2 linked regions of the Coturnix japonica genome follow. The protein of the gene in region 2 interacts with the protein of the main gene of each other region in a pairwise test. Links are inferred from orthologs where the notes say so. Each region holds a gene or a part of one and is shown on either strand. Other genes may lie near its edges.

What was found.
Region 1: the proteins of BCAR1 (region 2) and NPHP1 interact in a two-hybrid assay, tested with the Homo sapiens proteins (2 studies listed by BioGRID). The link is inferred for Coturnix japonica from reciprocal best matches to the Homo sapiens genes BCAR1 and NPHP1.

The regions. Positions count from the first base shown.
Region 1 is NC_029518.1:4,652,172-4,656,281, forward strand, and holds the start of NPHP1 (nephrocystin-1), read left to right. Parts: upstream 1-1,310; 5' UTR 1,311-1,412; coding exon 1,413-1,481; intron 1,482-1,665; coding exon 1,666-1,730; intron 1,731-2,907; coding exon 2,908-2,968; intron 2,969-3,389; coding exon 3,390-3,526; intron 3,527-3,679; exon of another isoform or gene 3,680-3,902; coding exon 3,903-4,110. Other genes in the region: two pore calcium channel protein 1-like, read right to left, coding at 468-550, 689-709; MTLN (mitoregulin), read left to right, coding at 630-1,028. UniProt on the Homo sapiens protein: Together with BCAR1 it may play a role in the control of epithelial cell polarity. Involved in the organization of apical junctions in kidney cells together with NPHP4 and RPGRIP1L/NPHP8. Does not seem to be strictly required for ciliogenesis.
Region 2 is NC_029526.1:685,804-688,713, forward strand, and holds the end of BCAR1 (breast cancer anti-estrogen resistance protein 1), read left to right. Parts: coding exon 1-670; intron 671-855; coding exon 856-945; intron 946-1,181; coding exon 1,182-1,697; 3' UTR 1,698-2,273; downstream 2,274-2,910. UniProt on the Homo sapiens protein: Docking protein which plays a central coordinating role for tyrosine kinase-based signaling related to cell adhesion. Implicated in induction of cell migration and cell branching. Involved in the BCAR3-mediated inhibition of TGFB signaling.

The DNA of each region.
Region 1 (4,110 bases), on a different chromosome or scaffold from region 2:
GATCATGTAGTTCCAACCCCCCTGCCTGGCAGGGCCACCAAACATACACATTTACTAGATCAGGTTGCCCAGGGCCCCGTCCAACCTGGCCTTGAACACCTCCAAGGACGGGGCATCCACAACCTCCCTGGGCAGCCTGTTCCAGGGCCTAACCACTCTCTTAGTAAAGAACTTTCCCCTAACATCCAACCTAAATCTTCCCTCTTTTAACTTAAAACCATTTCCCCATGTCCTGCTATTATCAGCCCTTTCGAAGAGTTTACTCCCCTCCTGGGGAGTAAGTCCTTTGAGATCATTAAGCCCAACCCGACCATACCCCTCAGTGCCACATCCCCACCTGCAGCTCTCTCAACCCCCAGCACCTCTCAGTGCAGCCGTGCCTCTGCCCCACTACTCGTTAGGAGAAGGAACCCACCGCAGCCCCCTCCCAGGCTGCCTGGGGGAGCGGAGCCCTGCAGCCCCCTTACCTGACAGCCTCGGGGGAAGTCTTAAAAGGGATATTTCTGTTGTATTGAGCATCAGAGACAAACGCTGCAGCCAGCAGGAGCTCCTGGGGAGGGGAAGAAACACAGGTCAGGGGGTGCTTGGGGAGGGGGGCAGAGGGCGATATCCCTGCCCCGCAGGCGGGGATGGAGCACACGCCGCCCTACACCCCGTGCCACCTCCCAGCCCGAGGCGAGGGCTCTACCTGCGAAGCAGCCTCAGCCATGGCCGGGGAAACGCTTCACCTCCCGCCGACCCCGCGGCATTTAACGGGCCCGCCCCGCCGGCGGAAACGGGAGGCGGAGGAAGGGCCGGGAGGAGGAGCGGCAGCCGCAGGGTCCGCCCGCAGCGCTGCAGCCACGTTCCCGATGGTGCTGGATGCGCTGAGGCCCCGCTCGGTGCGCTGGGCGCTGCTGGCCGCCTTCGCCACCGGTGTCGTGGTGGGCTGGCAGGCCGCCCGCGCCCGCCGCCGCTTCCTGCGCTGGAGGCAGAGCCGCCTGCAGCGCCGCTTGGACGCCGCCCGGCAGCAGCTGGAGGCGGCCTGACCCCGCGCCGCCCTGCCCGGCTCCCGATCGTACGGCCGGAGCCACGCGGACCCGCCGCCCGGCGATGCCCGGAGCCAGCGCTGATCACACGGACCGAACCGACCGCACCGCGGGCTCATCGCTGCCGTGGGTGAGGACACGGCGCGCAGCGAGCGGCGGATCCCGGCGTGACGGAACGAGTGGGGAGCGGGGAGACGGAGCAGCGCCCGGCAGCACCAACGGGGCATTAAACGGGGCATTAAACGAGTGTGTGTGTCGGACTCGGTGTGTTCGTTCCTGCTGTGTGTTCATACTCCATACACTCCATATCCTCCATCCCGGCCCACGCTCGCGGCGCTCCCGGCAGTGACGCCATCTCCCAGCGCCGCCCGTTGCCCAGCGACCATGACGGGGCGGCGGGCGCGCAGCCCACTGCAGAGAGTGCAGCGCCAGAGCAGGGAGCTGCGGGCGCAGGTATCGGTACCGGTATCAGTATCGGCATCAGTACCGGTATCAGTATCGGTATCAGTATCGGTATCGGTATCAGTACCGGTACCGGTATCAGTATCGGCATCAGTACCGGTACCGGTATCGGTACCGGTACCGGCAGCCGCTGGGGAGCCCTTCCGGCAGCTGACGGCACCCCTCTGTGTTGCAGGTGGAGGCGCTGCGGGCAGAGAGCGCGGGCGCGGCCGTGGGGCAGCGGGAGGCCTTGAGGCAGAGGTGAGCGGGGCTGCGGGGCGCCTGGAGCTCGGTACCGGGGATGGAACGGACCTTAACAACCATTGGGCACCAACCCCCGCCTTAAACTGCTGACCCCAACCTGACCCTGTTGCCCAGGGCTCCATCCAGCCGTGGGCACCACCAGGAGTGGGGCATTCTGTGTTCTATGGGCAGCCTGTGTCCGTCTCATTGCCTCTGAGTGAAAATTCCCCTTAACGTCTAACCTCAAATTCCTCTTTGTCCTGACACTCAGACTGTAAAATTTGCTCCCATTCCTATTTATGAGTTCCCTTGAGGCACCATAAGGCCGCAGTGAGGTCTCTCCGCAGCCTTCTCTTCTCCAGGCTGAACGATCCCACCTTCCCCTGCTGTATCAGCTACACCACTCAGCGTGCTGTCAGCAGCACACTCAATCCCACTGTCAGAGTCACTGATAAAGATGCAGAAGTGCACATCCAAAGACAGACCCTTGTGGGACACCACTCATCACCTGCCTCCACTTATGCTATACCAGGACACAGAACCAGCTCTCTCTTGCTGAGGTTCAGCCTGGGAAGTCACCAGAGCCTCTACTTAATGCAGTGTTACCTGGTCTTTGGGGCATTATGGAAAGCAGGGGTTCAGCTTTCATAGTGCAGTGGCACTCCTGCCTTATCCCCGAGCAGCACTAGGCTACAGCAACAGCAACAGGCTCCCTCAGCACCCTGCCCAGTGCTGGGTGTGGGCAGTGACAGCAAGTGCCTGTGAAGTGATGTAGCACGGGTAACCACACAGGTTGTCTGAAATCCTCAAGGCTGAAGTTGTTTAAAGCAGGAACTTGCACATCACAGGTAACAAGCAGTGAAGCTGCGCATCCCTTTGTTCTTCAGGGATTCTTGTGTGAATGATTGACACCAAGAACTTGTCAGAGCCAGGAGATTATCTTATTTTGTCCCTCTGCTCCAAATCTGCTGCTGCTGCTTCTTGAGTTTTGTTAAAACACTGCTTCTAAGGACACACCAAACGCTTGGTTTATGAATTACAGACGGAATTAAACTGGTCTCTTTTTGTAAAGCTTTGTGTTCATACAGCTTTGAGAAGGTATGGGCATCTAAACATACGCATTTAAGTGATTTTGTGATTCAATATCCCGTCAACCAGATGTAAGGTAACGCTGTCTGTCTTGCTTTCAATGCAGGTGTTTTCAGCTGCAGAAACTGGTGGACGAGAATACAAATACTCTTCGTAGTTTGAAAAAGGTAGGTATAGAGACTTGCTAATGGTTTTCCCTGTAACATATTGTGGTAAATATTCAGAGAATGGTAACCTGCTTCAATTTCAGATGCCTCAGGATGAAAGTAATGCCTAGCACCACATAACCTACGAATGGGATCTCTGAGATTAATGTATATGATCTGAAAGCATATTCTTAATGCTTTGTTATGCGCATTAAAATCTTTCTTGACCCAATATATTTAAAGGTGTTTATCAACCCACTCCATTGTGTTGGGAGAGGAGAATGTAGTTTGAAAATGTAGTGTGAAAGTTCATTTTGTTGAAGTAAAAGGCAATAAAATATCATAAGCAGGGAGTTATCACTGCTGTGGAATATCAAAACTCATGAGATGTGTCTGTAAAACTGTAGAGAAACACCAGGTTTGTTGTATTTTCCTTCCTCAGGCTGACGAGCCTGCGCCTGTGGGGAATTACGATCAGAGGAAAGAAGAAGAAGAAAAGCTGTTGCTAAAGCTATCCCAGCAGCTGCAGAAATTTTGTCATGTCTTGGATAAGGACAATGCAGCTACAAAGGACACGGTGTAAGTAACCCAAACAAGCATCTGTACTTAAATAGTGTCATACATACAGCACTGGAAAGAACCTTCAAAGACTGCTTATCCTCCTTATTAGTTATTGCAAAAGAGCTGGCTCTCCTGGGGCTTGTTTTATTAATGAAATCAAGAGAGCCTCGCTGCAGTTTTCCGAGGATTTTGTTTAATGGCTGAGATATAACGTAGGTTGTACTGTGGTCTGTATTCTTAGGGATGAAAAACCATTTCAGGTCAGGCCAGAGTCTACAAAGAGATTTCTGGATAACACAGGGAAGCCCGTGTTGTAAGGCTTTAACAGCAATTAAAATATATATATATATATAAAATTAAAAAGTGAATAAAAAGTTTGATTTATTTTGGGTAGGAACAAGGGGAGTCTGAAAGATTCTCGGAGAGAACACAAAGATAAAGAAGAGGATGAGGGTGCTGATGACAATGGTGAAAGCAGTGAGGAAGAAGAAAGTGAAGAAGCAGATGAGGAAGATGGGGATAACTTGGATGATCCTGATGTTAAAGAATGCATTGCAGTGGGAAGCTTTAATGCACAGCAGGAAGGGGACCTCACATTTACG
Region 2 (2,910 bases):
GGCCAAAGGAGCCGGCAGGGAGTTCTCCCTGGACTTGGATGCTGCCATGGAGATGCTGGCCAAGCTCCAGCTCGGCGTCAGCGGTGCCGTCTCCAGCCTCATGTCCTTCATCAGCACCAACTGGCGCAGCCCCGAGCACATGGAAGCCAATGCTGCCGGCATCCGCCTGGCAGCCGAGGGTGTTCAAACAGCCCTCAGGGAGCTGCTGGAGTTTGCCCGGGGGGCAGTGGGCAACGCTGCCCAGGCCTCGGACCGCTCACTGTACGCCAAGCTCAGCAAGCAGCTGCAGAAGATGGAGGAGGTCTACCAGGCCCTGGGGCGGCACAGCCAGGCGCTGGATGCATGTCACTGGGCTCCCAGTGCCTTGGTGGCTGGCAAACCGGGCACGGACGACTTGGAGCTGTTCGTCATGTACTCGCGTGGTGTGCCCGATGACACCAAGCAGCTCGCCTCCTTCCTGCATGGCAATGCTTCTCTGCTCTTCAAACGGACAAAGCCAGCGCCAGAGGGCAATGGCCACGGGCCCACGCACCCCTCTGACAAGGCCAGCAGCATCCAGTCACGGCCCCTGCCCTCCCCACCCAAGCTGCTGGCACAGGAGTCCCCCGAGGGTCCCTACGAGAACCACGAGAGCGGCTGGATGGAGGATTATGACTACGTGCACCTCCAGGTGGGTGCGGGCTGGGGGCACCCTGTGGGTGACGTGGGTGGGATTTCTGTCTCCTCATCTGGGTCTTGCTTTTCCCCTCCTGTTATGGCTGTAGGAACTGAGGGCATCCTGGTGCAGGGCTGGGGGGCTCCATCCTGATAGGGCTTGTGGTTTTCCCCCTTCTCACCCTCCTTCCTTTCTTTCAGGGCAAGGAGGAGTTTGAGAAGACGCAGAAGGAGCTGCTGGAGAAAGGCAACATTATCCGGCAGAGCAAGGACCAGTTGGAGCACCAGCAGGTAATGGGGCTGGGGGATAAGCATGGCTCAGTGGGGACCCTGGGGTGGGGAGGGCAGTAGGGTTGGGCTCCTGTTCCCCATTCCCACAGCCGTGAGCTCCCCATGGCTCTGTCCGGCTCTTCTCTGATGCCAGATAGGATCGGGGCGCTGTCCCACGTGGCATCCCCTGGGGTGCAGCCATCGCTGTGGGGCTCGGTGGCCACCCTGCCTGTCCTCACACCCATCTCTCCCCATAGCTGAAGCAGTTTGAGCGGCTGGAGCAGGAGGTGACGCGCCCCATTGACAACGACCTGTCCAACTGGAGCCCTCCCCAGCACTACGGCCCTGTACGGGGCGGTGGTGCCCTGTGTGCCGCCGACCACCAGCTGCTCCTCTTCTACCTGGAGCAGTGCGAGGCCAACCTCACCACGCTCACCAATGCTATTGACGCCTTCTTCACCGCTGTCAGCACCAACCAGCCCCCAAAAATCTTCGTGGCCCACAGCAAGTTCATCATCCTCAGCGCCCACAAGCTCGTCTTCATCGGCGACACACTGTCCCGCCAGGCCAAGGCGCAGGACGTGCGGCACAAGGTGACACACTACAGCAACCTCCTGTGCGAGATGCTCAAGGAGATCGTGGTGAGCACCAAAGCGGCTGCGCTGCACTACCCGTCACCTGCCGCCTCCAAGGACATGGTGGAGCGCGTCAAGGACCTTGCCAACAGCACGCAGCAGTTCAGGAGGGTGCTGGGCCAGCTGGCTGCCATGTGATGGCCCTGTGCTGTTCCCCCTCCCATTGCCCTCTGCCCAGCGTAACAGACCTGTACATAGAGACTCACACAGGGGTGAGGGGCCGCAGCTGTCATCCCCCTCCCCTCTCATCCTCTCGACATTGGTTTCAGAGCCATGCCCGCAGTGCCCAGGGTTGCAATCTCTCCCTTCTGTGCTCGTTCCCCTGCTCCAGTTGAAGTGGGGCTGGCAGTGGGGCTGCTCCAGTGTCCTGGGGTGATGCTGTGGGCTCCATCGGCACATCGGCCATCTGTTGTAGTGTTGTGGCACAGACAGAGCCAGGCAAGCAGCAGCAGTAGGGAGATGAAGAGTGCTGTCCTGAGTGACAAGGGAAGGGGTGAGGGGCAGCCGGGGTGGGAGGAGGGGCTTGAACCTTTGCATTTCAAGTCTTGGTTTTGCTGTACCAACTGTAATTGAAATGCAAACCGACATTGGTGCCTTCTGAACACTGGGGAAGCTTCCTCCTTCCTCACAGTTCCCGGAGCCATGGAGTTGCAGCCGCCCCCAAAACTCAACCCCCTGGTCCCACAGCAGCATAAAGATTTGCCTAGAAATTCCCCTGGCACCTGGCTGTGTGTGTGCGGTGCTGGGATCGGGCGCCCTGTGTGTGCAACTGGGGTGTCCTTTCCCCCAAAAGCAGCGGTGCTGGAGCATGGCTGGGGTGCCACGTGCTTTATGGCAAAGCAATAACATGGGTTTGTTCATAGCATCTTGATGTGGAACAGGATGTGGCACTGGCTGTGGGCACAAGCAGCGGTGAAGATGCAGTGCTGCACAGCCCACAGCCACCCACACTTTGCTGTGCTCCTCACACCTACACCTGGGTTGCAGTGTAACTGCTGTGCAGATGGAGGCAGTGCCAGCACAGCAGGTGCCGTGGTAGCCCTGGGCCGTGGGCACCCAGAGCCCAGCTGTGGGCTCACAGGGCTTGATGCAGTGCCCCAGCATGTATCTGGTGCTCGGGACAGCCCCAACCCTGTGCACCCACCTCCTGCCCAATTCCTATGTGCCACGCCTCGGCTCCCACGGTGATTCCCCAGCCCTGTTCCTGTGTGCCAAAGTGCTGATCACCACCCTCAGCCGAGACACCACTGTGTCCTGCACCATAGGGACCACAGCACCTATGAGGCCCGATCCCACATCCCATACATCCCTGTCCCTACCCAATCCTTGCTCATCTTTTGCCCAAACCTGT